Lonchura striata: one gene and its partners. Each later gene encodes a partner of the first gene's protein in a complex. Links are inferred from orthologs where the notes say so. Each region holds a gene or a part of one and is shown on either strand. Other genes may lie near its edges.

The links.
Region 2: the proteins of TUBGCP5 (region 1) and TUBGCP4 are in contact, whole or in part, in a cryo-EM structure (PDB 9I8M), measured with the Xenopus laevis proteins. The link is inferred for Lonchura striata from reciprocal best matches to the Homo sapiens genes TUBGCP5 and TUBGCP4. Residues at the interface, in XP_018102626.1 of Xenopus laevis: His233, Leu234, His235, Leu238, Ile241, Trp242, His245, His300, Met301, Thr302, Asn304, Cys305, Ser308, Val309, Gln312, Ala392, Ile393, Leu395, Asp396, Lys397, Arg410, Leu441, Asp442, Tyr443, Asp444, Asn445, Val446, Gly447, Glu448, Ala449; in XP_018110859.1 of Xenopus laevis: Met1, Ile2, His3, Glu4, Leu7, Tyr12, Pro13, Gly14, Ser15, Ile16, Gln29, Pro32, Phe33, Glu60, Thr63, Gly64, Ile84, Arg87, Ala88, Arg91, Arg101, Leu105, Gln109, Leu112, Pro115, His116, Leu117, Val178, Gly181, Val182.
Region 3: TUBGCP5 (region 1) and TUBGCP2 share a complex: the UniProt entries of both Homo sapiens proteins name them as parts of the gamma-tubulin ring complex. The link is inferred for Lonchura striata from reciprocal best matches to the Homo sapiens genes TUBGCP5 and TUBGCP2.
Region 4: the proteins of TUBGCP5 (region 1) and MZT1 are in contact, whole or in part, in a crystal structure (PDB 6L81), measured with the Homo sapiens proteins. The link is inferred for Lonchura striata from reciprocal best matches to the Homo sapiens genes TUBGCP5 and MZT1. Residues at the interface, in NP_443135.3 of Homo sapiens: Gln14, Gln15, Asp18, Val19, Glu21, Leu22, Val23, Val26, Ala27, Gly28, Asn36, Ala40, Phe43, Ala44, Asn47, Phe48, Arg52, Phe53, Leu54, Phe72, Lys80, Ser83, Trp84, Leu87, Thr88, Glu90, Phe91, Ala106, Ser109, Ile110; in NP_001065243.1 of Homo sapiens: Glu23, Val27, Leu28, Glu30, Ile31, Ser32, Ile34, Leu35, Asn36, Thr37, Leu39, Leu44, Ile46, Cys47, Val48, Arg49, Leu50, Cys51, Glu52, Gln53, Ile55, Asn56, Pro57, Glu58, Ala59, Leu60, Ser61, Ser62, Val63, Ile64.

The regions. Positions count from the first base shown.
Region 1 is NC_134604.1:84,368,240-84,375,766, reverse strand, and holds the start of TUBGCP5 (gamma-tubulin complex component 5), read right to left. Parts: upstream 3,103-7,527; 5' UTR 3,087-3,102; coding exon 2,926-3,086; intron 563-2,925; coding exon 509-562; intron 425-508; coding exon 316-424; intron 1-315. UniProt on the Homo sapiens protein: Component of the gamma-tubulin ring complex (gTuRC) which mediates microtubule nucleation.
Region 2 is NC_134613.1:24,617,731-24,625,286, reverse strand, and holds the start of TUBGCP4 (gamma-tubulin complex component 4), read left to right. Parts: upstream 1-4,485; 5' UTR 4,486-4,526; coding exon 4,527-4,604; intron 4,605-4,721; coding exon 4,722-4,850; intron 4,851-5,427; coding exon 5,428-5,550; intron 5,551-5,936; coding exon 5,937-5,990; intron 5,991-6,443; coding exon 6,444-6,500; intron 6,501-7,053; coding exon 7,054-7,133; intron 7,134-7,556. Other genes in the region: ras GTPase-activating-like protein IQGAP1, read right to left, coding at 1,503-1,554. UniProt on the Homo sapiens protein: Component of the gamma-tubulin ring complex (gTuRC) which mediates microtubule nucleation.
Region 3 is NC_134609.1:37,380,925-37,388,447, forward strand, and holds the start of TUBGCP2 (gamma-tubulin complex component 2), read right to left. Parts: upstream 3,324-7,523; 5' UTR 3,280-3,323; intron 1,547-3,279; 5' UTR 1,413-1,546; coding exon 1,263-1,412; intron 554-1,262; coding exon 425-553; intron 120-424; coding exon 1-119. Other genes in the region: ZNF511 (zinc finger protein 511), read left to right, coding at 3,329-3,553, 3,652-3,725, 4,580-4,781, 4,877-5,001, 5,296-5,481, 5,999-6,068. UniProt on the Homo sapiens protein: Component of the gamma-tubulin ring complex (gTuRC) which mediates microtubule nucleation.
Region 4 is NC_134604.1:50,634,845-50,642,628, forward strand, and holds the start of MZT1 (mitotic-spindle organizing protein 1), read left to right. Parts: upstream 1-4,426; 5' UTR 4,427-4,473; coding exon 4,474-4,522; intron 4,523-6,347; coding exon 6,348-6,493; intron 6,494-7,784. Other genes in the region: BORA (protein aurora borealis), read right to left, coding at 2,139-2,245, 3,315-3,470. UniProt on the Homo sapiens protein: Required for the recruitment and the assembly of the gamma-tubulin ring complex (gTuRC) at the centrosome.

The DNA of each region.
Region 1 (7,527 bases):
AGTTCTCAGTTCATTCTTATTTTAGTACAGACAGGAATCCAGATTCACCTAGACTCCAGCTACAGCATTTGTACAATGCTGACTTTAAAACACCTGCTCTACAATGAGATCGTGTACTTTAAGTCATGAAACTCCACATGCTGAAACTCTGAGAAGATGAATTTTGATTTCTGGAAATCCATGACCTGAACAGCAACTCCAAAGTCCACTACTAAATCATCTGAAATTTCCAACACGTTACAATTGAAGCTCACACTGTCAGTGTAAATGCAAAAGGAATGGAAAAAAAGAACAAGGAAATTGCAACATACATACCTTTGTTTCTTCAGTACTTGGGAGCGGCAAGTTCAGAAATTTTTCTGTTAATCTTTTCCAGCTTGCAGCTTTTCCAAGGTCAGAATGAATTACCAATTTTTCATGTATTCTAATAACACAAATAGTATCAAGAAGGCTTTTTAAAAATATATATAAAACCAATGCATTATTAATATATAGACATAAAACTTACCCTTCAATTGTTCTCTCTACTTTATGACTGTTCACATCAAGAAAACGGTGAAATCTGTATAAGAAATCTGTATTAGAATATTTTTAAAAGGAAGCTGAAGTAAGGAAGAAAATAAAGCTGATTTACGTATATGAAGACAATATTACTGGTTTAATAATGCACACTTAATTCAGCAACAGCATTAAGTATCAATAAAATTAAATCTTGACATCTCTTAGCTCAAGAAGGATTAAATATAATTGCCTGAAAAGTAGAAAAAAATTGAATGCAGGTTACATCTAACCACCATTCTAAGCTGAATGGAAAATTACCACTGTACCAGCAAACTAAGCAATTAAAGTATGCTGTCTGCTATGTCAAGTAGATCAAGGAGATCAAGAACTATGTTGTCAAAGGCATTGGTGTCAAAGGCACAAAATTATCTGGGAGCTGCATCACAGGCATAGGCAAAACAAACACCCACATGGGAAGGCCTCTAAACCCAAAAGAAGCTCCTTTTTTAATGGATAAGGGAGAATGTCTAAGTGAAAAGAGAGCTTGATCAAAAATAAAGATAGATATACCTACAAATGTGTATATATACGTATAGGGACAAAACAGGAACTCGTGAAAGGTAAAATGGACTTTGGAGACTAAATTAAGCTACGAATAGGTTCTTCAGATACAGAGATTAAAAGACAGGGAGTAAGATGTGATAGCACTGAGCACAAGGTCAAGACACTCTATATGCCCTCAAAATAAAACCAATGTTTCCAGCAACAGGTGACAGAAAGTGATAATATTCTCATGACCACAGACAGAAAAACTGCTGAATCCCAGTTATGAGCAACAGTTAAGCTAAATAGACTGAAATTCAAAAGAAATATGAAATAACCTCAATTCAAAAGTAATGAACTAGAAAGTGAAACTCTAAGGCAGCTAGCAAGGATTTTTATTAAGTAGCACTGCAGGATGAAGATAGACCCATGTTAAAGAAAATAAAAAAATACTTTGTTAACTACAGACACATTAAGCTGATTTCAACTGTGTATAAGGATTTGGAATAAGAGCATGATAGAATATAGCTCTAAGTAGGTGGCATTTAGATTTAAGAAAATATATAATTTATTACAGCACATTAGCTTACATAGGAAATCATTAATTCAAAATCGTGGTAAGTATAAGAACTGGAAGATTTAGAATATCACACTAAAAAGACAATAAAAAATTAAATTAAGAATCTGTCCTGAAAAGAAAAATCAAGCTGCAGGGAAATTATTAGTGAAAATTCTTTAGTCGCTTACTAAAAGCTTCAATTAATGACTAACATACATGCAAAAAAATATCATTTTTTTAGGCAAGTTGGGAACATCATGAATAGAAGAGTATTAGAGTGCTGCATGGAAATAAATAGGTGGATCAAAGAACTACAGCACAGAAACATCACCAAATCTAACAATACAAATCACAAGTTTCACAAATTCAAAACAAAGGAGAGTTTCTGATACAACCTAAGGTCTCACTGTTTGTAAACGTAATACTAGATAATTTCAGGCTGATGTTCCATGCACATTCTTGGACAACGATTCTGTCATTAAAAAACCTTCCTCTTCCCACCTGAGGGTTTCCTCAACCCAAACTGAGGGTGCGATTTACATGCTAAAATAATTTTATTTGAGCCTATTAGTAGTTAGGATTAACAGATGCAATGCAGTTATGCTACTGCTCCTCCAAAAACGCATTTAATCAGGATGAAAAATGTAAAGTAGTATTGATTTTGCATGGATTAGCTACTAGCTGCATACGATTTCAAAGAGGCAGCAATTAGTGACAGTAGGGGTAATTGAAAATACATCGTGTAAGAGTTTCAGAAGCTTTCACAGAAAACATTCTGAGCTGGAAGGGACCCACAAGGATCATCGAGTCCAGCTCAAGGGGGTTAATACACTGGAACAATAACTGTGATAACTGAAAACTGTGTGAAACTTGAGCAAGGGCAGTTTAGGCGGCAGTCTAAAGGGCTACTACTATGTATTGCAAATTAATGAAGACCACGCTTCTGACAAGCCCAAATAACACCAAACACGTTCTCTTCCAGCAGACCGATAAGCCTCTCACACAAGCAGCACAGCCTTCTTAGCCAGAAGGTTCATCTCAATTTGGCAGAGTCCTCCTCGCTTGCTCTTTATACACAACCATAATGAATCTCCCTGCAACGAAGTTTTGGGCGGCTAAATGAACACGCTGAAAGGCACCTTCTAGCAGAGCAGGAGAAAATCCCTAAAAGACCCAGCTCCAAGCGCGTCGGAGCAGCAGACATAGATCCCGCGGCAGACTCGCACACGGCGGACGGCGCTGCGGCAGCCAGGGCGCACGGCGGGCCCGGCCCCGTCCCACGGCCCGCGGCAGGCACCGGGACCCTCCCTGCTCCCGCTGACCTGAAGTTGGACCAGGCGAAGCTGAGCGCCGCCTGGAAGCGCTCTCCGCCCAGCTCCTCCTCGGGCAGGCTGGTCACGCAGCGCACCAGCGCGCGGACGGCGCGCTCCTGCTCCTGCTCGAAGCGGCCGCGGGGCCCGGGCGAGGCCAGCGGCGCCGCCATGGCCCGGCCGCGGGGCGGGGGGACGCGGGGGACACACGGGGACACACGGGGACACACGGGCGGCACCGCCGGCGCGCCCCGGGCGGCCGCCACCGCCTCCCGCCCCTCCTCTCGCGAGGCTTCCCTGCGCCGCGCATGCGCGTGGCGGAGCGGGGCGCGTCGGCGGCGCCCGTGGCGCGGCCGGCCGGGGGCGGGAGGCGGGAGCGGGAGAGCGGGGCCGGGCGGGAGGGTTCGGCACCGCCGGTCCAGCCCGACTGCTGCGGCTTCCCCCGTCACGGAAAGGACTCCTGTCTTCCGAAACAACCCCGTAATCACCCGGGATCAGTAACTGGCAGTTGCTGATTGATTACAGAATCTCTTCGGTTGGAAGAGCCTTTTGAGATCACCGAGCCCAAACACCACCATGTCCACAAGGCCATGTCCATGTCCAGCCCTTCCTTAAACGCTTCCAGGACAGTGACTCCACTACCTCCTTCCTTTCAATATCTAATCGCCCTTTCTGTGAAGAAATTCCTTTTACTGTCCAATCTGAATTTCCCCTGGTGCACATTAAGACTATACTGTTTGTAGGATGGTTACTCATCCAAAGAAGGACCTGTGTGCTCCTCCCTGACTGAATCCCTGCTTTTGCACAGCTGGAGAAACCACTGTTGGTGGGTGCTCTATACACAGATTATGAGCAGGACATCAGGAGGGCTGTGGGAAACCGATTTCTCCCAGTTCCATGTCAAACCTCTGCTGAGGAGTTTAAAATGCTTTTGTCTGTTGACATGGTTTTGTAGGACTGCAAGGTCAACAGCCTGACTATGAAATTCCTTCTGGAAATAAACTAGCTAAATCAATGGGAAATTGTATTATTGTTCAGTTCCTGTGGAGGAATTGCTGCAGTTGTCTTATCCTTCACTGTTAGGCCTTGTCCTTGATTGAATCAACAATTACCGGGTTGTAATCCACCTCGCCAAAATTTTTTATTCCTCTTCTCCATTAAGAAATACACCAGCACAGTGAAAGGAGTAGTCAGTAGTGGATCAGGAGAAGTGGTACGAAGAAGACCTCAGAAATGCCCTAATAAAGTTAAAATATATTTAATGTACCAACATAATGTGAAGAATTATGTAAAAATGTAGTGGTTAAGATAAAATAACTTTGAAATTCTTCAAGTTAGGGCATAGTAAGAAACACTAGCACATTTTTATCTGGGTGGGCTACAACCTACCTTAGGGTTGAGATGCAGAACTGCAAGGAAGTGGTGGCCTGAGTGTAGAGTGCTCAGCATGAGCATGAGATCAGAGGGTCTCTGCTCCAGAGCCTTTCTTATAAAGCCTTAGCTTAATGCACATTCAAAGGAAAAGTCTAAAACTTTACTGGTGTTCCCCAATCTCCTCTTGATGTTGCCTGTGTTTTCCATATTAGATTAACAGCAGTCTTTTCTTTTTACTCTTTAGCTGATGTAGCCAAACATCAGTCATAATTTGTCCTGCTATATTTTAACTGTCTGCACAGTCAGTAGACACTCCAGTGGTTGGTACTGTAGTAATTAATAACTGGAATACTGTGACTGGCTTTTAAACAAAATTCTTATATGCTGAGACTTTAAATGTTCTTTATACAACATAACTGTGGTTATCACTTAACCCCTATGTATTTAAGCATACCTGTGCTACCCCTGCAATCACTGTTCAGACTGGAAGTTCCAGGCTTTGCAGCATGTGTGTCACTTGTGTCCTTTGTGGTGAGAGGAGTGTGGCAGCCACCTATTTCAGCACTCCATCACAAAAGAAATAGTGATATTTTTGCAGTGAGAAGGATTCCAGATCTTAGCAGCTGCCCTGTCACAAGCTGAGTATCATCAAACATGGACTTTAATGACAGTGGTGTCTGAAAGGTTTCCTGCTTCCCAACTGTCTTGTACAAGTCCATTTCCCTTCATACCACACCCTCAGCTGTGCTGTCTGTGGAGCAGCATGGTGAACCGAAACAGGGAATAAGTTAAAAATAGTCTTGTTTCTGCTTTGCTAGGGGTTTTAACTCTGATTAATTCACTGATCTATTCCTTTGGAGGTGTCAAGAAGAGGGAAGAACTACAATCCCAGGCAGTGGAAAGCCTCCAGGCAATGAAAGTACGTACACCCTTTGTGACTGGTGAATCAGAAATCTGTTGCTGGTTTTCAAAACAGGATACCAGGGCTGGGGCAAATGTATAACATCTGTGCTGCCTCAGTCATGAAAGGCTTTAATGGTACAAATATTTTCCTTTTTTCCCTCATCACAAGCCTCATTTCTATTTTTGTTTTGGTATTGGTATTTGATTTCAGCTGGGTGAGGGAACACTGGGCAGGGAGAAGGGATGAAGACGTGCTCTAGAAGCAAATTTAAACTGGGTTTTTAAGTAAGGTTTAATACTAGGAAGCTTAATAGTTTACTTTGTTATTCCTTTATTTTCATGTGGTAACTGTCTCTTCTCACCCAACTATCCTTCCACATCACACTGCTGGAAATTAGAAGTATTTAAAGTAAAATCTTCCTTTCTCATGGGATTAGATTATATTTGGGAGAGGTGTCCCTTTTTGTCATGTCATATTACAATGTCACCTGTGTCTAGTCACATGTTGGAGGAGGAATTACAATGCAAACCATTGGTGAACTGTGTATCCTTTAGAGAAACTGCTCTGAGCAGGCAACCTCTCCTCTGCTTTTCAATCCTAACTGATGAGCCAATTTGCTGAGCAGCATTCTAAGGCAGGTGAAGGAGTGCATGAGGTGAAACACATCAGGCTGCAAGGGATTGTTCAACAAGCCAACCACAGGAGTTCATGCTTCATGCTTCACTGTTAGCACCTCTGTTACCAACAAAGCTTTGGGTAAATTCCACAGAACAGATGGACAGTATATTTAAAACACTGCATTTGAAGAAGTACTTAAGATTTAGGGATTGGGGGTGTAGTGAATCTATAGAAACAGTCATTTAATAATTAGCTGGGGGGAGGGATACAGAACACGTTGTGGCTTCACTTTAACACCGTCTTTAGGATATATGAGACTGATGTGCTGAGCTATGTTTTTATGGTCATGCAAAAGTCAGTTCAGGCAACTGAATATTAGAGGAGGCTATAGCTCATCTTTACACTATAACTCATGCAAAATTGCCTCTGAAAAGCAAACTGTAACAGGAAGGAGGGCATCTGATAACTTTCTACTGCAGTGTCTTTGAAGTGCACTCTAACTTCTTAAACTCAATTCTTCATTTGATGGAGTTTTGCAACTGAATTTAAAATTTAAAATTTAAAATTTAAAATTTAAAATTTAAAACTGAATTTTAATTTAGGATAGATTTTTAAAAATGCTGAGGTTGATGTTAAGTCTGCATTTTATAATGGTTTACACTTCCTGTTAATTGGATGTATATTTAAATAGACATTTCAGGGCCTTAGTTTAGAGTATCATTAATTGTAAATCCAAAATATTTTTTGTGCAAGACAGATAAAGATTTGGCATAAGGTTCAGCTTAGGTTTATGTGATCCATCCCATCAGGGCAGTAGGTGTAGCTGTAATACCTTGTATTTGCTTTTATGGAAGACCCAGTCACAGGACATAGAAATCCTGTTGTATCCCAACTATCACTATGTCCCCCTGACCAGCAAATTGTTAGAGTATTGAAATATCTGCCAGTGTTCAAGAAGCATTTGGACAATGCCCTCAGATACATGATGTGCTTCCTGGGGCTGTCATATGCTGGACCAACCATAGGATTTTGATGATTCTTATGGTGCCATCCAACTCAATATACTCTATGATCTCTACTGTTACTGAATAGTTACTGTGAACTGTCAGGCTGTAGCATAGTGAAACTGGATCTTCATTTATTTGCTAAAATGATGATGCTTTACTCTGACTTTTTTATTGGATATAGTACATTTTCCTTTACTAATATTGTTGCAAAACGTATTGCAACAATAAAAATGGAGTTGCCCTGGTCACAGGTTTTCTTACCTGTTTGTAAATTGGGTTGGAGAACCATTCTTTTAATCCTTTGTGGGAAGAAAGCTTGACCTCCACAAATGGTAGCAAGTGTTTCAGTTTGTGAAGCTTGTCACAGCAATACTGATTCTGATTTCTCCATTTTTCCCACCCATTTAGTCCCCTAGACAGCTTTACCATACACTGCTTTATTCTTTTCCAAAACCAGAAAAAGAGTAGATGCTTTCATCTTTCATTGTACCCTTTCTAACTAAAAATATATTGCTCTTCTTGAACTGTCTTGATTTTTTTCCTTTCATTATAATGGCACTGCCTTAAGTTTCCACCCATGACAGATAATTCTGCAAGTGTATTGTTATTCTAGTTCTATTTGCGGAAATGTTATGACTTGTGTAGTGGTATGGTTGCTTGGTTTTGTCAGCTGCACTGATATGCAGACATAGATAAAACAGTGAATGGATG
Region 2 (7,556 bases), on another chromosome or scaffold:
CTCAAATTCACAGCATCCCTCTTACAACTTCTTAGAAACAATCTTTTATTTTCTTATTTTCTTCTACCTTTGCCTTTGTCTTCCTCAAAAGCACATCAGTGACCACTTGTCCCCTCACCAATCCTCCAATTTTGATAGCAAAAGATTAAGGAAGGACACAAATACATATTAACATCATATAACCCCCTCTATATCTTTATAGTCCACCTCTAAAGCAAGGTAGAAATGCTACTCACACTCCCTACATGGAAGGGAATCATTCAGATTCCCAACCTACATGCCATCTTTGGATCACGCTAAAGACCTACATAGGGGTAATATGCCTAAATCTTCTAGATTTTGTGTGTTCAAAGTCTCAGTAAAAAAGTCTTCTCTTCCCATACTTACAGCTAAATACATCTCATGTCAACTTTTTTAGGTATCATGGACCAATTTAACAAATAGGAAATGTTTCATACTGTTAATAAAGCAAAGGTTAGCTTATACCTAAGATAATTTCAACAACAATCTATGGTGCACTTGTGAGACCCCAGCAGGAACACTGGCATCTTCAGCACAAAACCTGCTAGAGCACGTCCAGAGGTGGGCAACAAAGATGCTCCGGGGCCTGGAACACCTCTCCCACAGAGGCAGGCTGAGACAGTACGGGTTGCTCAGCCTGGAGAGGGCTTTCTCTGTGGTCTCTCTGTACTTAAAAGGGAGCTTATAAAAGGAAGAGGGAAATGCTGATAGGACAAAGGGGAACAGTTTAAAACTAGAAGTGGAGAGATTTAGAGCAGATGACAGGAAGAAATTCTTGAACCAAGAAGATAGTGAGGCAGAGAAGCTGTGGCAGCCCCATCCCTGGAATGTTAAAAGACCAGGTCGGACCGACTGTCGCTTACAACATCGCCCCTCCACAGCACCACGTTTTCCTCCGCCGTTGGTCATTTTTGACGCGGTATAGTAGCGTAGGTGAGCCCGCACATCGGACGCTAAGATCCAAAGCCTCCCTCTCCATAGCAAGCCCACGACAAGGCAATGAAGGTGTCAAATGGGAGCGGTGTTTCGCCCAGAAAATCGGGTGTGGTCGCCAAAATCGGCGGGAAGGCGGAAGGCAGGGCCGCCCCCGCCCCACCCCGCCCGCGGCGGACATCTTGGGCGAGGTGCAAGGCTCGCCCGCGGCAGACGACGGCCGCACAGTCATGGGACGTCGCGTTGCTGCTCATCCACTGCCTTCTCCCAGCACTCGTCTCCAACCCTCAGGAGGACTGTCGAGCTTAGACAAGGTCCCGCGCGGCACGGCGCTCATCTCGCGGGAGGCGCAGCTCGACAGGGCCCGCCAGGAGAGCCGGCGGGGCACACCGTGCCCGAGGGGCAGTCCCGGAGCCCGCGGCTCCCCCCATGCCTGCGGTGGCCCAGCCTCCCCTCACAGCGCTGAACGCTGGAAAGCACGGACGGCTCGGACTGGGCGTCGCTTGGCGGCCACGCGGATTCCCTCACCCCGGGATCCCGATACTTACAGCCATAGTGGGGCCGGGACACGGCCAGCCCGTCCACGTCCTCCGCCGCCATGGCGCTGCGCTGGGCTGGGGCTAGCGGGAGCTGGGCGCGGCTGTTCCTCTTCCTGCCGCACCGGGTGTGGCGGGGGAGGAGTCGCCCCGCCGCGCTCTCTCTCCCCGCCCCGGCCGCACCCGAGGCGTCCCCGCCACCTTCGGCGCTGCTGGAAAGGATGAGTTGCGCAGTCCCGTTCCGGCCGGACCCAGGCCCCAATCTAGCTCGGCCCGTCCCGTAAACCTGAAGGACACGGCTTGGCCGTCTTGTCTCTCCCCGGGGTCCCTCTCCCTCTCACAGGGCCAGCGCCCTGGCTCTGAATCTGTCTGTTAGCCTCATAACTAACACCCAGCTAAGCTCTCACCTAAACTCTGCCAGCATACGCGGGACACAGCCCAGGTCAACCTGGTCATGACCCACATTTTACCCTCTCAGCCCAGCCATGTGTGCGCAGCCCACGTGCGCCCCACTGTGTGCAGTACAGCTCAGCCTCCAAAGCCCGGCTGCCTCCCACATGCTGCTTCGCCTAAGCCCTCTTGCCCTGCCAGGTTCCTCAGCTGCATAGCCCTTCACAGTAGCAAAACCTGGCCTTGCTGGATGTAGCATAAACAGCTCTACTGACCAAACCATGGTAACTCATATGAAATGTCAACCACAAGTGGAAGCAGTGGAAGCCCCTAAACAATAGCAACATCCAGCAGCACTGCCACAGGAGAATCATGCCCTGAAAACTTCCTTCCCCTCAGTACATATTACTGTTGCTTTGCCTATTTCTTGTTCAAGGGTCAGAGTACTGACAGTGTCAGTCACCAGGTGTCCATTTTAATTAGTCACATGAATTTCACTGCTAGGGCATACATTTACTACCTAAGTACACATTAAGTAATTTGGAAAACCAATAGCCTCTGTTAGGAAAAGCATCCCCAGCAGGCAAAGGAGTCAATCTATCATTCTCATCTTCCCAGATGTGGATTCAGTTTCAGCTCCCTCAGTACAAGGAAGACATGGACATAATGGAACAACTACAGTGAAATTGATTAAGGGCTTGGAGCATCTGACATATGAGGAGAGCACGAGAGAACATGCCAAGAAGCAGTGGGCAATGGACTGAAAAATATAAAAAGTCCCATTTCAATAGAATAAAAAATAGTTGTATTCTGAAGGTGACTCAACACTGGAACAAGTTACCTAGAGAAGTTATGGAGTCTCTGTCCTTGGAGAAAATTCAAGCCTAACTAGGCATAGTCCTGGACAAACCTGCTTGAGTTCACCTGGTATTGAGAAAACAAGGTGGGACTGGAGACTTCTAGAGGTCACTTCCAAAATCAGTGATTCCATGAGCCCATCAAAAAGTATATTTACTTACTATATATACACAGGTAACATGGAACAGGACAAGAAGACACAGCCTAAAGCTGTGCCAGGGCAGGTTTAGCTTGGACATTAGGAAGAATTTCTTCACAGGAGGGGTGGTGAGATATTGGAATGGGCTGCCAAGGAACGTGGTGGAGACATCATCCTGTAAGTGTTAGAGGAAAGATTGGATGTGGCACTTAGTGCTTTGATCTAGCTGACAAAGTGGCATTCGATCATTGGTTGGACTCAACAATCTTAGAGAACTGAATTGATTAAAGGAAGACATAATTCAATGGTTACAGAAATAACTACATTGGGAAATGCCAGACATAAATTACAAAACAAAAGGTTTTATAATACAGTTAGGATTCTATTTATTAACATTTGCATTACTTCACATGTAGCCACTTGTAAGTTATGCAATGAGAAGACATTTAAAATAATGTTTATATGTAGAATGTGGCGTGCAGAATTCATTTTGTTCCCCCTAAAAATCTCGTAACATTTTTGCACAGTGCCACAAACCTCCCTCAAAAACATCTCATTCTGATAAGAAAAATAAAACACGATTATTACATGTCATCAAAGAACCTTTCTGAACCTCTTCAAAGCTGGACTCAATGGTACCTATAACAGCTCCCCTGATTTAAGATTTCTGGTGCTTGTTATCGACTTTGCAAAATGTTTTTATTAAAAGTTGTGTATCTGTGTGCCTAATTTATTGCCTATCCTGTTCCTTGTCTTTTTCCCCCCTAGTGTTTAATGAGCACTAGTCAGATGGCCCTGCAAATATCATAGAGATACCTATTTTTCTCTCATTTCAAAATTTGAGCAACCAAAAAATTCTTTTAAGATTTTTGCTTTAATGACTAATCACTAGGTTTCCCAGAGAAAATGAGCACCGAAATCCTTTAAATAAACTACTGTTATCTGTTCTTTTGCAGAGGTTTCCAGACCAATTGTATACTGTGATATTTATGTCAAGGATGCATAACAAATGTCTAGGCCAACTCCTCAGTCTTTATTATGATGCTAGAAGTTTTGTCAACAGAAAGACAATAGTTTTATTATACTCCTCATATATGATAAACAACAATGTTGGGGCTTCCAATTTACACATAAAGCTGTATAGCTATAGCTAGTACATGCCCATATTCTTCCTACCCTTCAGACCTTATTGTGGCAAGCTGAAACAAATACAAATTAGATGACCCTTAAGACTAAACACCAATTTCTTCTAAATGAAGAAGAGTAAACATGTACATAGAGGAAAAAACTGTCAAAAATAGGGGGGGTAAATGAAAAAGAGGCTGCTAAAAAACACTTTATTAAATGACTTCATAGTTTTCAAACTAGACAGTTTTGAATAAAAGTCTACCCGGATTACGACAGGAAGTGAAGGAAAGCAGTACATAATAAATGGAGAAAGGTAAAACTGGCGCTGATAAAACACTGACAAATAACCTGAGAAAGCGATAAAGAAACCTCGTGAGGCGTATCGTAGAGGGCAGCGCAGCTCTGCTGTCCGGGACGGACGGTGGCCATCAGAGCCTCGGCGGCGCTGCACGCCGCAGCCCCGCCCGGCGCTCCCGGCGGCCCCGCCGCTCCCGGCAGCCCGCGCGGCGCCGCGCCGCAGGATGATCCACGAGCTGCTGCTGGCCCTCAGCGGCTACCCGGGGGCGGCCTTCACCTGGAGCAAGCGCGGCGGCCTCCAGGTGTGGCACGGCCCCGGCAAAGCCCACCCCGCCCCGCCTGCCCCCTGCCCCCCACCCCCCGGCCTGCGCGGCTCGTCCGTCCGCCCATTCGTTCCTCACCGCTGTTTTCTCTTCCAGGTGTCTCAGGAGCTGCCGTTTCTGCACCCCAGCGAGACCAGCGTCCTTAACCGGCTCTGCCGCCTCGGCACCGACTACATCCGCTTCGCCGAATTCGTGGAGCAGTACACGGGACATGTACAGCAGCAGGTGGGGTCACTGGGCCGAGGTATTGCCCGGGAAGAGCGCGGCAGGTGCCAGTAAGGCCAAGCTGCCCAGGACACAGCAGTGGTCCGTGGCCCATACCCGCGCTCGCACCACCACCGAGCAGAGCTCCAGAAAGCTCTTCGCGATGCTTGTAAGGGAGGGTAGAGAGCAATGAAGAATAATGAATCAAATGTAAAATCTTATTATTGGGGACGTCTTGTAATAATTTCTGACCACAGCAGACTGGCCAGGGTTTGTCAATTGAGCGGGATGCTCATGACTATCTCCTCATGATGTGCGAAGAGCCTTGAGATCCAAGAGGCACACTTAAGTGAAAAGAAGCACTGGTACCAAAGGCTCCCAGCACTTTCAGAGGTCCACAAAAGAACTAAACATCAGTCTGCTCGAGTAACTGTCATTGTGAAAAGGTTGTATTTGTTTTTCTGATCACTTTGTGGTGAGCTAAGGTGCATTTCAACAGGTTTAAAGCACTGACAACTGCTGTGGCACTGCACAGATACTACATTACTCTTCAGACTTGCACGAGTATGCTGAGGCAGATTTTATTGTTTGGTTTCAGGATCACCATCCATCTCAGCAAAACCAGAGTGGATTGCATGGCATTTATTTGAGAGCCTTCTGCACAGGTCTTGATTCAGTGCTGCAGCCTTATCGACAGGCACTACTTGACCTGGAACAAGAGGTAAAGGAGAGAGATACAGAACAAGAGGCTGTAGTGCTGCTGGCAGATTGTGGAAACTTGTAATTTCTGCAATTAATATGTTAGTAGTAGTTTCTAAGATGAAACAAGGTATTTTCCTTTCCACGTTAGGAATGCCTTCCAAATTATTCCTGTGAGATGCCATTGTAAATTACTTTTCATTCTATTAAGTGTTATCCTCTCTACCTTCAATTCTGTAAGGGCTCCATCTCTGTTAGCCCAGTGCTGTCTCAGACTACTGTGGCTTCTGTTTTCAATTTTAGAGGTTTTGATTAATCTCTGCTAGACTAGTAGCTGTCATACCTTGGGTAGCGTCACCATTTAGTGGTTGTGATAATTAATCTTCATTAATTGCTTTATCTTTATAGTTTCTGGCTGACCCACACCTTTCCATCTCACATGTTAATTACTCCTTGGACCAGGTATGTCGTGTTATTAAAGAAGTAGTGTTCTTTGCTTGTTGTCATCCCTCATTGAGTCTAATAAGAAAGTGGGTGGGATAAACGAGGCTTGTTCCATCATGTCATGTCATTTCTATCTAATGTCTCTACATCTGTAGTCCCTTAATCGTACTCAGAGGATCACCTGCACTTCAGCACAAAACTAAGGTACTCCACCTTGACCCTCACACATTCCTCACTGACTGTGTTTAGCCTTAACTACTGCTGGAATATAGTAACTTTGTGCATCTTGGTCCAGTGAAGGGAAGACATACTTCCTAGAAATTTGCATGTCATGTTTCTAATTTGTGAGGAAAGACAGGTAATAGTTTTATTAAATTATTGTGTTCAGCTGCTGTCCACAGTTACTCAAGTACAGTTTTTTTCTCTCTTCCTTACATAACAACCTACATCAATATTTCACTTGTTCTGCAGTTTCAGTTACTCTTCCCCTCTGTGATGGTCATGGTGGAACAGATCAAAACTCAGAAGGTACAGTAAACTTGCAGTTAGTTTCTCTTAACAGGTTTTCTCTTTAACTGATGAAGTAATTTCTGCCCCCATCCCATATTTCTGAAAGTAGAAAATAATGTCGTTTCAGTAATGGGTGCCCTATTACTAGCTCTACTGTAAGTACTGAGATTATTTTACAAATTCATTTACATTGTATTTGATTTTTTTTCTCTTATCCCATAATCTTTGATGTCTTGAATTTTATAGGACAGGATGCTGGTAGTGGGAATCTTTATTTTCTGAGTCTGTTTTCTCTGGCCATTGCTGGAAATAAAAAAGGCAGAGGCTAATGTTTCGAGAATCCAGAGATGCTTACATTTTTTAAGGGAAAGTATTGAGAGAAGCTTGAGTGTAGAGCCACATATAGAAGGTCTTTTTCATCACTACACCAGCATGTTACATCTTTCTTTCAGTAAGACTTGTTCAGTTTGTGAAGGCATTTTTTTGTTAGCTGAAAGTGTAATGTTTAAATGTATAAAAAGGTCAGTACAGATCCAAATAACAGACCTGGTCTAACCTTTTCTTTCTGCAGATTCATGGGTGCCAGATATTGGAGACAGTCCACAAACACAGCTGTGGGGGGCTGCCTCCTGTTCGCAGTGCTCTTGAAAAGTATGTAGATCCAGTAAAACTATTACTTCATTCTTCTGAAGTTAGTGTCAAAGTGTTTCTTACTTGTTGGAACAGTACGTGCAAAACAGCATGGTATAAAATTAGGAGTACCATGCAGGGGAAGACTGTCACCATCCCCATTATTTATCTAAAGCAGGTTTGTGGTGAGAATGAAGTCTTTCTCCATATCTAAGGCTATTCTGCATATCACTGATCTTTGATCTTTCAAAATGATAAATGTGAATGTGTGAGTGTTGTGATGTTTGTATGTCCTTGTGGAGAAAGTCAAACTACTTAAAACGTCCTGTTTTGAGTAGAAACAAAAGCCATTGCAGACTTACACCTCTGGTATACTAGCAGATTTCCCTGGAGAAGTCACATGTTCAGAGGATACGACTTAGTACTTGCCCTACTGCCTGGCTG
Region 3 (7,523 bases), on another chromosome or scaffold:
TCCTGCAGAGACATCTTGGAAGTGGATGAGGGGATGGAAAAATTCGTGCTGCTGCTGGTGGCTGCATTTGCTGCGAGTTCTGCCCTTTCTTTAGCATTTTGTTGCAGATAGTGGAGTGTCTGTACACAGACAAACAAAGAAAAGGTTTTGTGAATGCTGGGCAGTACAATCTAAAGCAAGAAACACACGGCCATACCCTGGCTGTGCTGAATCTAACCACAGATCTCTCTGTCCCAGTTTTCCATGTCTTAGGGAATTATATCAAGAGGAGCACAACTCTCAGTAGCGTTTTAATAACTCAGTGAGAGCTAGTACTGGTTATTTGTTGATTTTTACAGATTTCACTGAACTTTAATTCAAGCTGGGCTTGAAATCATTGCATTGTTGCAATTCTTCAACATTCAGTTCTAAACAAGGAACCAACCTCTTTGTCTTCAGTGAGCTTGGACAGCAGGTAAACTAAAGAATCCAGATGTCTAGTGTTTTTAGACTTCAGCTCATCATACTTCTTTAGAAAATCTTCAGGAGTTCGAGAAAACTCTGCTATTTTCACCTGTAAAACACCACGTTAATATTAAATGGAGTTACAATTAAAATGAAATGGAATTAGAGCAAACACGCAGCTCGGGCTACAAAGATGCCAAGTTTCAGACAGAGTTAGAAACTCCCTAGCACTTAGAGCTCGACTGGTGGCTTGCTTTTAAAAATGAAAACAAAAAGCAACCTTATAGCCATAAAAGCTATCTGAGTTATATAGCTATAGAAGAGTCTGGTCATGAGCACCAGGCTTCAATCTCTAATATTTGGGTGATATTCAGAAGAAAAAAGCCACATGTTAGTCATATAACTGCATTTTATACAATTTTCATTTCATCATGGAAGCAAGGAAAGGTTTGGGTGGGAATGTCAAGGTGATCTTGTTCCATCCTGTACCACGGGCAGGGACACTTTCCACTATCCCAGCTTGCTCCAAGCCCCATCCAGCCTGGCCTTGGACACTTCCAAGGATCCAGGGACACAGCTTCCCTGGGCATCCTCCCAGGAAACAACTCCTTCCCAATATGCCACAAAACAACCTCCTTGTTTGAATTTTCCCACACCCCAGTCCTAACAATCCTCTTCTCCCTCAAGGATTCCACCTCTTCCCACGCAGACCTCCCACTTCACACCCAGAACCGTGGCCCCAGACCCCACCAGAGATCTTTCTCCCTAGATGGACACCAACAGGACGAGCTGCTGTGCCCAGAAGAAGGGGGCAGGACCTTGGCACTGTGGGCAGAGACGTTGGTGGTGACGTAGGGCGTGCGGTTCTTCTGCAGCAGCTCGATGTAGACCTCGGCGCCCTCCCCGTCGTGCACCCGCAGCAGGCTCAGCAGCTCGTTCACGTCGTGGTGGATGCGGAACTCGCTCATGCTCCCAGCTCGGGCCACCAGCCCTGGGGACACGGCAACCAGGGGTTATTCCTGCTCCCAGGGGTTATTCCCGGCTCCCAGAGGTTATTCCCTGCCCCGCCAGGGAGATGCTTCTGGAACGTGGAGATGTTTGGCTGGGATAAAGGAGGAGGAAGCAAATCAAGCAGGGATACTCCTTGTATGGTTTGGGTTGAGAGGGACCTCAAAGCCCATCTCATTCTGATGCCTCAGGTTTAGCTTTTGTATTTTTCAGGTTCTCTGCTGCTTTAGTGTGTAGGTCTGGGCTTCACATTAAGGGATGGTGAGATCTCTGCACAGAGGAGGGAGACAAAACAATTCCTTCTCTAGCTGGAGACCAAGGACAAATGATTCAAATCTCAGGCCCAAGAGCACAAACAATGGTGAATTGAAGAGAAAAAAAGAAAAAAACCAAGAAGGATGGGACTTCATAACCTAAAGCTGGAATTGGACAATGAACTCCAATGTACAAATGGAGCAGAACTGATCAAAGTGAGAGCCCCTGTGAGCGCTTGTGCATTTTGGGACCATTTTGGTTCATCTTGGGTGCAGCCCTGGCTGGGCTCTGGTGCTGCCCAAGGTGGATCCACTGAAGAGATCCTTTTAATAAATCCCTGCTTTATTCTTTAACTCTGTCTGGCTCTGTTCTATGTCAGTCTTCTCAAGGCATCAGTGCCACCCCTGCTATGAGTAGGGACACCTTCCACTGTCCCAGGCTGCTCCAAGCCCCAGTGTCCAACCTGGCTTTGGGCACTGCCAGGGATCCAGGGGCAGCCACAGCTGCTCTGGGCTGCTGAAGGTGGGACAGCTCCAGCCAGGAAGTCTAAGACTGGGGGAGACTCTTAAATTGGGGCTGGCCAGCAGAGGATTTTTTCATTCAGAAGGAATGCGGGAAGGACTGCTTGGTGTCCTGACAAGCTGACCCCACTGCTGCTTCTGAAATCACCACAAAGCAGTTTTCCCCAAGTTTAGGGGTCCTCCTATTCCACTGCCCACTTTATTAAATTCACTCAAACCCTGGAGAATACCTAAATAACAACTTTAATACTGACACAGAGCCCTGAGATGAGCTCAGCAGGTCAGAGCCTAGTGCTAACACCACCCAGGCTGTGGGTCAATCCTGGAATGGGCCATTCACTTAAGAGCTGGACTTGATGATCCTTGTAGGTCCCTTCCAGCTCAGAAAATCCTGTGATTCTGTAAATCAGACGTAAGACCCTGAGCCAGGAACCATGGAGATAAATAAGAAGCTCCATGTGACACCTTGCAGAGATTGCATCAAGCAGATACACTCCATATCAAACACAAGGACACACTTCTGTTTTGCCAAGATCATGGAATCACTTCGGCTGGAAGGGATCCCTGCAAGCCGTGGTCCAACTCTCCACTCAAAGCTGACTCGAGTTAGAACAGGCTGCTGCAGCCCAAACTTAAATCTCTTTAAGGGCGCAGCTTCCCCAGCACCTGGGGCCGTGATCCCGCTGGGATTTCCCGCGGGCTGCCCAAGTGCCGGGATATGTGGAATAAATAAATAGACTCCACACCCTGGGGTAGTTATGAAGTGGGTGTGTACTGTCAGCGCCCGGCACAAGTGAGCTCGCTCTCCAAGACTTGTGCCCTGAGCTTTAGTCTGACCCAAACCTTTATTCCCAAAGGCAGGGAAGGAGGAGAAGCTGCGGGAGCTGGGCTGGACTCGGAGCGGCCTCCGAGGGCACCGCACCCGGCACAGCGGAGGGATCGCCACCGCCGGCACCCCCCGCACCAGCCCACCCTCCATACCCTGCTTGACCTTATCCCATTCTATTAAATAAATTTAATTCCGTTTAATTCAATTCGATCTCATCCCTACCTGCCCGCCCGGAAACGCCGCCGCTGGCGCCGGGAAGCGCGCCCCGCGCATGCGCGGCGGGCGGCGCGGGAGCCGCCTCAGCGCGCCCCGCGCAGGCGCACTGCGCTCCCCGCCCGCCATGCTGCCGCTGCCGCCGCGCCTCCGCCGCCTCCTCCGTGAGGGGCTCCCGCCGCTCCCGCGGGACCCCCCGGCCCCGCCGCCCGCTCCGCCCGCGCCGCCCTTCTCCTTCGCCCCCCGCCGCCTCCGCCTCGGCCCCCAGCACCCGCTCTTCGAGGTGAGGCGGCGCCGCGGGGCCGCTCCCGGCGCGGTTCCCCCCGGAGCTGCGTTCTGCAGCCCTGCCCACAACCACCGCCGCTCTCTGCTCCTCTCTAGGATGGGGACGTGCACAGGCATCTCTACCTGCAGGGCGTCCTCAGCAGCCTCCAGGAGGTGGCCGAGAGACCCAAGTGAGTGAGGCGGTCTCGTCTGAGCCCTCCCGTCATGGAATCAAGGAATGGTTTGGGTTGGAAGGGTCCTTAAAGATCATCTCGTTCCTCCCCCCTGCCATGGCAGGGACACCTTCCACTGTCTCAGGTGCTCCAAGCCCTGTGCAGCCTGGCCTTGGGCACTGCCAGGGATCCAGGGGCAGCCACAGCTGCTCTGGGCACCCTGTGCCAGGGCCTGCCCACCCTGCCAGGGAATTCTTCCACTGTCCCAGGCTGCTCCAAGCCCTGTGCAGCCTGGCCTTGGGCACTACCAGGGGTCCAGGCACAGCCACAGCTGCTCTGGGCTGCTGCAGCTGGCACAGCTCCAAGCAGGAAGGCCAAGCCTGGAGAAGAATCTTGGTCTTGCCAGACAGGAAGTACTTTTGAGTGCTGTGTGAGATTCACCTATGGATAACCCTTAAAAAAATCACTGGAGTTGTCATCCACAGCTGCAGCGTTTAGCTTAGACAGCTAATTTATTTATTAATGGCTTGTTTGTTCTTCACCGAAGTACCATTTAACAGGAGCCATAATGGTTAATAAGTTTCCAATGGCAAATAATTTTCCAGCTGCCAGCATCACCACGATCTTTGTTCCATTGCACCTGGCATTTAATTTTAAGTATTAGGCACAAAAAAATGCCACAAGTGTTGTGGCTGTAGGTGTGGGCCTAGTGGAAGGTGCCCCTGCCCATGGCAAGGGGTCGGAATCAGATGAGCTTTGTGGTCCAATCCAACCCAAGCCATCCTGGGTTTCTCTGATAAGTCATCTAGGGGGCATTTTTGTAGCTGAATTTAAAGCTTTAATTTCAGCTTAAAGTCCTGATTTCCCTGCAGGGTGTCCGAGTTCAGCTGCCACATCTCTGGCTGCAGCCAGGTGTTTGACACACTGGAGAGCTACGAGCACCACTACAACACCCTGCACAGGAATGTCTGCTCCTTCTGCAAGCGCTCCTTTCCCTCTGGGAATCTCCTGGATATCCACATCTTGGAGTGGCATGATTCCCTCTTCCAGATAATGGCTGAGAAGCAAAATATGGTGAGCTGCCATGCCCAGCCCTTGCCTCGTGCTTGGTATATGCTCGTTTTTTTTTCCAGTTATGTCTTTTTTCCTCTCTCCTCCCTGCCTTTCAGTACCAGTGCCTGGTGGAAGGCTGCCCAGAGAAGTTCAAGAGCAGCAAGGACAGGAAGGATCACTTGGTGACCGTGCACCTTTATCCTGCTGACTTTCGCTTTGACAGGCCCAAGAAGGTGAAAAGGTAACTGCAGAACTTTCCTCCTGTCCTGCAAGGAAAGTGTGAGGGAACTGGGATTGTTCAGCTCTGAGGTGACCTAAGTGTGGCCTTACAGTGGCTGAGGGAGCTACAGGAAACATGGAGAGAGACTCTTTACAAGGGAAATGGCTTCCCATTCCCAGAGGGCAGGGATAGATGGGATATTGGGAAGGAATCCATCCTAGATGCACTTGTTTCCTCATGAAGTACCTTTGACTTCCTTGGCTCTGGGCTCACATGGCAGCTCCTCAGCCAGGATGTAAAATTTTGTCTCTGCAGTGGCTCCAAGCACACAAGCTCTCCCATGGAGCAGGGCAGCAGCGTGCCCATGGATGTGAGCGTGGAGATGGCAGAGCAATTCCAAGTGAATGCCATGGAAACAGGGCCTGAGGAGAACATGGAGATCTCCCAGCCTGCAGCCAGCCCTGGCCCCTCGCTGCCAGAGAAACGCCTCTACAAATCCAGGTCAGTACTTTGGCCTCAGGGGCAAAATGGGCTGGGAGCACTCCATCTTATCAGCCCTTTGCAGCCTGCCTTGGGGTGTTGCTGTGCTGAGGATAAACCAGGCAGGAATCCCAAGAGTGCTTCCAAAGCCATTTTTGAAAGAAGGAAGTGTAAGGAGGAGCAGGACATGGGTACGCTGTGGGAGCTGTGTTTGTCTGCCCACCTGATCTCTTCCCAAGGTATTGCAGGATGTTGCTGCTGCTCTCCTGCTCCTCAACCACTGCAGCTACCCAGGTGTTATATTTAGTAACACCTTGTTGTAAAGAGCCCTCCAGGACAGGAATGTGCAGAGTACACTGGAATCCAACCAGTATTTCACCTGTTCTTTAAATTATTTGGTGATTTACATGTCCTGCTCCTCCAATTCCTTGCTCTTCCCAGTCTGGGAGCTTAAAATGCCCCACAGAGCATTAAGCATCCCAGCGAGCTTGTGAGGGCTGGGCTCCTAACATGGATTAAAGCCTGTCTCCCTTTCCAGGATCCCATCCACAATTTGCTTTGGACAAGGTGCCACCCGAGGATTTAAAGGACCACGGAAAAAGGTCTGAAGGTCGGTGCAGCAGATTTGTGCAAGATGAGCAGGCATGGAGCCAGTGCCACCAGGGATATTGCCAGTTCCCACTCCATGGAATGAACCACCCAAACCAGTTAAAGCTCTGCCAGCATTTGGGCACATGTTCCTGATGGCAAACAGAACTGGCAGCACCCAACTGAGTTAAGAGTCCTCAGGATTTGAGGAAAGGGAATCCAGAACGTGTGGTGAAGTGTTAAGGAAACTAGCCTGCAGCTGAGGCTGCATGGGACTGGGTGTTTTACTTTTTGCCTCTTGAGGGTAAAAAAATGGATTCAAGAAGTTACAAGATGCCAACGTGACTGTATGGAAGCTGGAATAACTGAGAAAAGAAAACGAGGAGAAAAAACCTCATTGGTCCTCAGTTCTGCCTTCCTCCATCTCACTGAAGTCTCCTCTGCACCCTGGAACCTGCTCTGAGAAGTTTGTCTGGGCCAGGAGAAGCATTTTCACTGGGAGTTCAAATAAAGTGTTTTCCAACCAGGTGAATAAATAAAAGAAATTTTTTACAAAATTGCTTCATAGACAATTTAAGTGCTTTTTTGAAGCCCAGGAGAGTCAGATGTGTGGAATGAACCTCCCTTCGTTTGCTGCAAATGGTGCCAAAATCAGGTTGGGATGGAGGTTATTTTCCCTCTTGCCTTTCCTTTCCTTTGTAATTTCATGTTCCTGGAAAAAACTGGAAACAGAGCCACTGATCTTGGGGTCCTGGTGAATCCTGACACTCAAAAATTGTGCACAAGGGGAAAAAAAGAGGTTTCTGGAACAATGTTTATCCAAGAAGCTTAGGATCTATAATTTTAATTTTTTTTCCCTTCCCCCTCTCTGTGAGGAATAGAAGATCAAAGGGGCTTTGAAAAATCCTTGCAAATGGGAGCAGGGAATGATGTTTACGGAGATGCAGGAGATTTCCCAGTAAGTTTTAAAAAGCTTTGCTATGTTTAAAACTCATCCAGCTTGTCCAGCCCTAATCCCTGCTCCGTGGGCTCTGGAGAGTGCTGTCTCCAGCAAGCAAACCCTGCAGCCACACAACTGCCCAGGGACATCTCTCAGCAGGGACTAAAAAGTCACTTCCCAACACTAAAGCCCCGAATGAGGCATTTTTCCCCACACTGGGATATCTGGGAACAAGCAGCAGGCCCCACGCTACTGGAGATGCCTGCAGGCTTTGGCGTGTGGTGGTACAAAGGTTGGGCAGCAGCCCAGTCTGCTCTTCCTTACTGTGTTCAGGAGTTCTGACCTGGGAACTCCTTTTTCCCAGAGCCCAGGGTCCTCGAGTGCCCACCCTTGCTGTTGGGAAACAAATTGTAGTTACTGATTGTCTCTTAGGCCACCAGCTTTTCCCAGCGTCCATGGGCAACAAAGTATTTCCCAGCTGGCCAGTGGCTGTCAAAAATCCGTATTTCAAGCCAAAACTTAAATTTTCCATCTC
Region 4 (7,784 bases), about 34 Mb from region 1:
TAAATATAAATTCAGTTGATTTGAAAAATATTTGTACCATTTAAAAATACATAATAGCAAATATTCTGTTTACACAGCATATCTGGACAAAAACTTAATTATTACTGATCTTCCAAAATAATGTCATATGAAGGTATCACTATTAAAGTTCACATGAGATTAGACTTGTACTATAAAGCAAGCAGACTAAAAAACTGAGGTGTAAGGAATTAAAGGGCAACTGAAAATACTCCTGGAATTTGCATACTCAAATTCCTGACACAGCCCACTTTCCCAGCACAGAGTTCTCTAGTCAAATACCCAGTCTGCCACAGCTTCTTCAGTACCATATTTTTGTTCTAACAAAAACTATATTTCTTTAAGCAGCTTTTAACTTAATAATAAAAAAAAATATTGTAGTTACTTCAGTTACTTCATGCTATGTGAGATTCTATATTTGTATTTCCTCTAACGGTCACCTTCAAGACTGACTTTCAGTTACCACAATGTAATTTACTGCAAAATTTTTTTAAGTTTATAAATGTTCATCATTTATAAGCTTCAAAACCACTCAGTACTTTCATTCACAGTTCATAAACCTGAACTACCCTTGAGTAATTTTAGAAATTCAGATAACAAGATAGTACCAGACATACAAGCACACATAGATGTGACAAATACATAAACTCTCACAACTCTCTCTTTTATTCTTATCAGACTTGAAATATATGTACAATGTTTGGACATGCCACCTTCTATAACATCTGCCTGATGATGCTAAAATGACAGCTCGATGGAGGACTTGCCAGAGTTATTGTACCAAAAAACAAGGATACAATCACTGTGTATTCATTTATATGTATGCACTAAAATATGCAAGCATGGACATAGCAGATCTACACATAGTCAAAATAGCCTTTTTCTAGTCACAGCAGATGATTTAAAAAAAAATGAACCTTAGTGATTGTGGAACATGGGACAAACTGAAAGAACCCACTGAGACAACACATCTTTATATCTATAGGCCATCCCACTCATCATGACTGGAATTGTCACCCAAGTCATCTCCATTAAAGCTAGTTTGACTGAGTAAGGTTCCAGAAACAATATAATTAAAACATGGCTTAAGGCTTCAAAATATACAAAAAGCACTAGTCTGGGTGCTACCGGGTGCTAAAGGAAGGACAGGAAACATTAAAACCTGGTGACTCAGATACAGTTAGAGTCTGGGAACAGTTATAGTCCTACAGCTTCTACTATTCAAAAAGAGAGATGTAGGTTAGGTCAGACACTAAAACCACTAAGTTATTTCACAGTATTTTTTATTATGTGTATTGAAACACTGGAACAGGTTGCTTGGAGTAGATGCCCCATTCCTGGAAACATTCAAGATCAAGGTGGATATGATTAAGCAACCTGATCTAGAGAGGATTGATTTATTATTCTATTGCTGTAGTGCTTCATACCATGAAGAGAAGTTCTTTCTGCAAGTTTATGTCTGAGAAATGTACAGGAGTCTACAGGATTCACCACTAAGGATCCCCTTGGCATGTCATTCTCTACCACCCGCATGTAAAATTATCTCTCAAGATAAGCTCCAAACACCAAGACTGTTTAACCCACCCATTTTCCTCATGCAGATTTTCAATGAAGAGAAAAAAATTAAGGATAAGGTCCTCAAACTACTTCAAATAACTAGCACTGGAGCCCCCTCCTTCACATTAAGTCTAGTCTATACCTTCAAAAGAGACTGCTGGGGCTTCCCCAGCTAGTTTCCCCAACATGTCTACCCTTCTGCAGGAGCCCCAGGGACCAAAGCCTCACCAAGGAGCATTCTGAGAAGATAAATTGTGTTGTAACAAGGAGCAGAAGAGGTAGCCTGGTAATGATCACTGGCAAGACATTTTCTGCTTCCACTAGCTGCTTTTATTTGGTTGTCTTCCAAACTGCAATCAGAGTGGATCAGCAGCTCTTACCATTAAAAGGAAGCAACATGGAGGTAGCCTCATCTAAATATTATATCCACATCAAGTAAAAGATTGTGTAAGAAGATTTTCATTAAAAGTCTTTAATGCTATGCTGAAATGTTAATAAAGCAAAAGAACAACTGTTCTAGTATTAAAGCTAGGTTAGCTGCATAAAAATAGATTATAACTTACCTAGCATGGCTCAAATACATTCCCTGGCGTCGAATGTCTTCCGAGTCTATTTCCACAGGATTTATTAGAGCAAGCTGATCAATAGACCATCTGAATTTTCCTGGTGTCTAAAAAAAGAAACAGGCATCTTAATGCTTGCTGTTCAAAAAGGGAAAAATAAAACCACAGGACAAATCTAAATGGAACAATACAACCACAGCTTCCATATAGTTTCTGTCAAAAGCAATCAAAAGTGTTTCTATTTAAATGATCTATTTAAAAAGAATTAAGTCAGGCTTCTTAAGCTGCTGGTAGTGGTATTACAAGGATTAACAACATAATATTAAGCTGGTATTCACAAAATGAGGTGTCAGTTTCTTCTCAATTCCTATGGACAGGTCTACTAAAGATGCATAACTTCACGCAAACTGAAATTGCTTCTTCAATCCAAACGATGGTTCCACAAAAACTCAGTATCCTAACTAAAGTTATCCAAATAATAGAGCAATCCCATTTCACTTCCCATTTCTAAGAAGACCAGAGCTGCAATTCCTGTACATTCTGCAATGTCTCCCTCATAAATGCCATACATAGGACACAACAAAATCCAATTCAGAAGTAAGAAGCTTCACCCCTTTATTTAATAAGGTACTGTTCAAATATATTTGGAAAATTATCTACCAAGTGAGTCTTTTCAGTTTCATTAGCAGATTCACCTCTACTGCTTATCAGAAAATAATTTCAACTGCAAACCAGTATATAATTTCCAACAAAAAAAAAAAAAAAGGCAGCTATAGATACACAAAATCATTGACTTGAATACACAAACAGCTCACAACATAAGTGCAATCAAGTTTTGCAACCAGCCTACTCAGCATCTAAGTAGAAACTGGTTTTCTGCATTGTAAGTAGGACCAGAGTATCTCATCAACAACTAGCCTTTATCTACTTTCTACTGGTTTTAGCACCCAATCTCTAATATCTAAAGACAAAATAAATTTAGGCAGGGAGGAAGACTAAGTGGCAATATTAGTATTTAAAAGCAGCACAGTTCTGTGAAGAGAAGAAACTCCAAATGCCACCGAAGTTCTTTAGCTTGGTACATATGTTGAAGTACACTAAATAAAATACCCTTAATGCATTTGAAAATATTAGCACTATATCTTTACAGTCACATAACTAACGACTAGATCTTACAGATGAGGATTTCGTTGACTTAAAGACTGAAGGACTGGAAACAATCTGCTCCTGAAGAGTGTAATAATCACTGGGACTTTCAAAAGGATTCAGGATCGTGACTCGTCCGGGAGTTTCTGGTGCTATCTGCATTTTAGCTTCTTCTGTATCACCCATAACACCAAGCTATACCTGAAAAACAGGAGAACAAAATTAAGGAAAACAATGAAATCACACTTTTGACGTTTTAGGGCCACCCTGAAGGCTTTGGGCAGAGAGAATTAGTCATCTGAAGGCACTAGCAACATTTCAAAAACGAAGTTAGGACTGGTTGGACTTAATGACATAAAGTTCATAAATAAGTCCGGTACAAATTACAATTACAAATAAACAGAAACTACGACGACGAGTTAAGAAAGAACGTGAAAAGAGGGATTAAGAAAAACCAAGCAAACACCCAAATAAGGGCAAAACAACAAGGAAACAAGCCAAAAAATCCAACAAACAAACAAACAAACAAACAAAACCCAACTAAGCACCAGAAGTGACCAGGCAGCCCCAGCGGCCGGGGCAGCAATAACGCCCCGGGCGGCTCCCGCTCCGTCCGGGCACTAAAACCGCCCGGCCTCCGCCTCAACGGGCCGGGGGCGGCCCGGCCCTCGCGGGGCCGCGGCGGGGGGCTCCGGCCGGGGGCGCCTCCCGGGCCCCGCCCGCCAAGGGGACGGGAGCCCCGGGGGAAGCGGCCCCGCTGAGCACCTTCTCACGCTTCTCCCCGGGACGGTGCCACCGCGCCGAGCCGCTCGGCGCTCTCCCAAGCCCCGCCGCCGCGGAGGCGCTGCCGGGCCCGCCGGGAATGCCGAGGATGCGGGCACAGCCCGCTGCTGCCGCCGTTACCCGGCCCCGGCCGCCGCCGCGCCGCTCCCGCCGCCGCCGCGCCGGGCGGCCCTTTAACCAGCCCCGCCCCCTCTGCGGCTTCTGACCAATCACGGAGCGCAGTGTGCACAGTCGGGCCAATGGCAGCGCTGCCCCTCTCTCGAACGGGCCAATCGCCAGCGCCGCCGCCGCACGAATTCAAAGCAAGCCCGCCCCCGCCGCGCTCGCGCTGCGCCGGGACGTCACGTGGGGCCGGCGGGCCCGGGCGTGCGCGGCGCGTTCCGGTTCCGGGCGCGGCGGGGTCGCCATGGCGAGCAACGCCGCCAGCCTGAACGCCGTGAGGGAGACCATGGACGGTGCGTGACACCCCCGGGCAGCCACTGCTGAGGGAGAGGGGACGCCTGGCCCCGCCGTGGGCCGTGCACAGGGACGCGTCTCTGGGGAAGAGGGGCGCGGGTTGCGGCTGCCGAAGGATGCAGCGTGTAGTTCTTGTTTCACTCCGTCTCACTTCGCGAAACAGCTCAACCCCCGCAGAGCGAGTGCCTTTGGAACTGACGTGGCTTTTCCTTTTTATGGTTTTGTTTCGTTTTTAAATTTCGCTCGGTATTTAACATAGAATATTAGGGGTTTTTCAGCGTCTGTATATATTTATATTTGCTCTCGTTTCCCGTTATTTGTATCGGTTGCTGTAAATGCCGAGCCTGGGGCTGGCAGTGCGCGGGAGGGAGAGGAGGGAGCGGCGCTGGGCCGGGGTCAGCGGCAGCGCCCGCGCCGACCGAGCCCCGACCATTGTTCTTCGTGGCTCATGTCAGAAAAACAAAGTACACGGCAAAAAAAACCCTCAAAACAGCCCAAACTGCAGTAATAGTGAAAAAGTTTTGAGGACGGTAGTCAGTGCTGCAGAGCTAAAATGGATTCTGATATGGAAAAAAAAGCAACGACCAACCCCAACCTCAGGTGCTGTTTGTTGTGGGATGGGGAATGTGAGAGAAGGGGTACTGGGAAATACTTTGTACACTGATAAGCCATGAGAAACGTGAGCAGGTGAGTGAGTTTCGTGTGCTCATTTTCAGCCTGACTAGAAAGGCCGAGGAGTCAAAGGATGGCATGTTTTGGAATTGTTTCGCACTGTAGTGTGAAACTCTGGAATTCCACAAAACGCCTATACCGAAAGCTTATATGCAGGGTGGAAATCTGTTGAGGGTTGTTAAATGTGGAACCTTTCTCTGAAAATGCCCTAATGAAGGGAGTAGAGTCTAGGGGGAATGTTTCAGGGATAGTGATGTGAATTTATTTTCTCAGCATCCTCACTTCCCTTGAAGTTACGGCTGCTGTTACAAATGGGTCTTTTGATACAGACTTTCATGAGTTGAGCTGGTGTAAAAATTAGCATTTCAGCCACTGATCTTCATGCTCTGACCTGCTGCTGGAAGCAAGGCAGGACTAGTAGGATCATTATGGCTTCTCTGATGCTGCAAGAGGGTAAAACCATTTTGTGCAGATAGAGAGTGATTTCTTTGGGAAGGACAAAGAATATAAGTTCTGGTAACTGTACTTGACAAATTCACTCTTTCAGGAATGATTTCGACAGGAGGGACAACAGGCGGATATAAAGACAAAGTAAGGCTTTTGAGAATAGATAGGGAAAGTGCACTAATGTTCAGATTTAGGAGCCCAGGCTTCCTGTGTAACTATATTTTATTTAGGATAGATACAGAAATTTAGCAGTTGTTGTCTGCAAAGTTGTTAAGAGCTCAGAATTGTTGCGGAGAAACTGCTGCGTCTCTCTGCCAAAGACACTGCCTTAACACCCAAACATTAGAAAGACTTCATCAGTATCTGGAGTCCAAAAGCACAGAGTGTTCTTATAGCCCACCTTTTACCTAATTGGCAGGTGTAATTGTTGAATGTTTCACTTTTTTTTTTTTTTACTCTTTCAAAACCTATTATCCAATATTAAATTTCCTGAACCAGGAAAGCATGGTGTGTATGTTAGAAGCTGTAGGTTTTAGCTTATGCTGGAAGGTTGAGCATAAACATTGTTGCAAACAACAAAGGACACCTGCTATGTTCAAAGTGTTGAAGTGCTGTAGAATCTAAATGTTGATGAAGAACAGTCTTGATCATTGAAATTTCATAGTCTGTAGGAATTAAAGCGCTTTATTTTTTTTTCTGTTGCAGTTCTGTTTGAGATTTCAAGAATATTAAACACTGGCTTGGATATGGAGACATTGTCTATTTGTGTGCGGCTTTGTGAACAAGGAATAAATCCAGAAGCCTTATCTTCTGTTATTAAAGAACTGCGGAAGGCTACAGAAGCTCTAAAGGTAATGCTCTAGTTTAAAAAGCTTATAAATCTGTTCTTAAGAGTCAGATGCACATGCAACTTGCTGTACTTCAGTTTGCAGATTGTACTTTGATATGACTCATTTTAGCTGTTCAATAGAGGAGGCAATGAAAACAACTGAACATGAAACAGGAAATGGTACAAATAAAATGTTTCTTAGAAATACAGTAATTAAACTAACTCTTCTGAAGAAAAAAACACAACCAAAATTCACAAGTTTTTATTATGGTCTCCATTTGTCCCCTTACCTGCATAATATCACAAATAGATTTTTCCTTTAACCAATACCCCCTCATTATTACAACCTCAGATTTAACAGTATGCAGCAGTATTTGTAAACAGGAACATCCAGCTTGTTAACATCATCTTAACATATTGCTTTTCCCCCTTTAACCTGTGCTTTGAGCCTTTCCCACAGAAAGAGGGAATTTTGTGATGTGTATATATATATATATATAGGGCTTTTCATATATGTGTATTTTACCTGTTTAACTACTAGAGGGGTAACCATGGTTTTTAAAACAAATCTCACTTGCATTTTAAAGGATTATCATTCTTTACTGCTTAGCTAAACATCACAGTCAGGGATTTTTATTACTGCATCTTATATTAGGCTGTTTATGAGAAGTGAAAGGGGAAACCTATATCTTGCTTCTATTCTGGAAAACTTCATATTTTATTTTTAACTTAGTATTTTTCTATGCTCATGCATATTTTGTATTTGTGTCTATGTTTAAAGGTATTCTTATATATGCATTTAACTGTATATAAAGAATTGAAGGTTGTTTTACTTCTTCCATTGCTTTCACTGGTTTCCCATTCCTTTTGCTTTCCTTCGCCTGTTTGTCCCATAACTGCTTTAAAATCTACCAATGTCAGTCTTGAACAACTGTGCCTTGTTGACTGTAGTTATCCAGTGATAAAATTACTAATATTCTTAATTAAATAATTGTTAGTATGATTATGCAGTTACGATTAGCGTAGTTCCTCTGAGTTTTGTTTCCATAACTAATCTGTATGGATTGGGTAATCATTACCATTAATTATGTAAACTCCAAAGGTAACTATATTTATGCATTTGAGCCTTTCTTGAAAGTATTAGGGTAAAATGTACAAGATAAAAGCTGCTCAAATACAGGATGTAAGACAAGTAAACAGCAGTGGCTCTTTTAGTAAAGGGTAATGGCAGTTGACAGCATTATTTTTTAGAAAATAGTAGTGTTCATTAGAAAAAATTTCCTAAGTAGCTTTTTTTTTTTTTAGACCCCTAA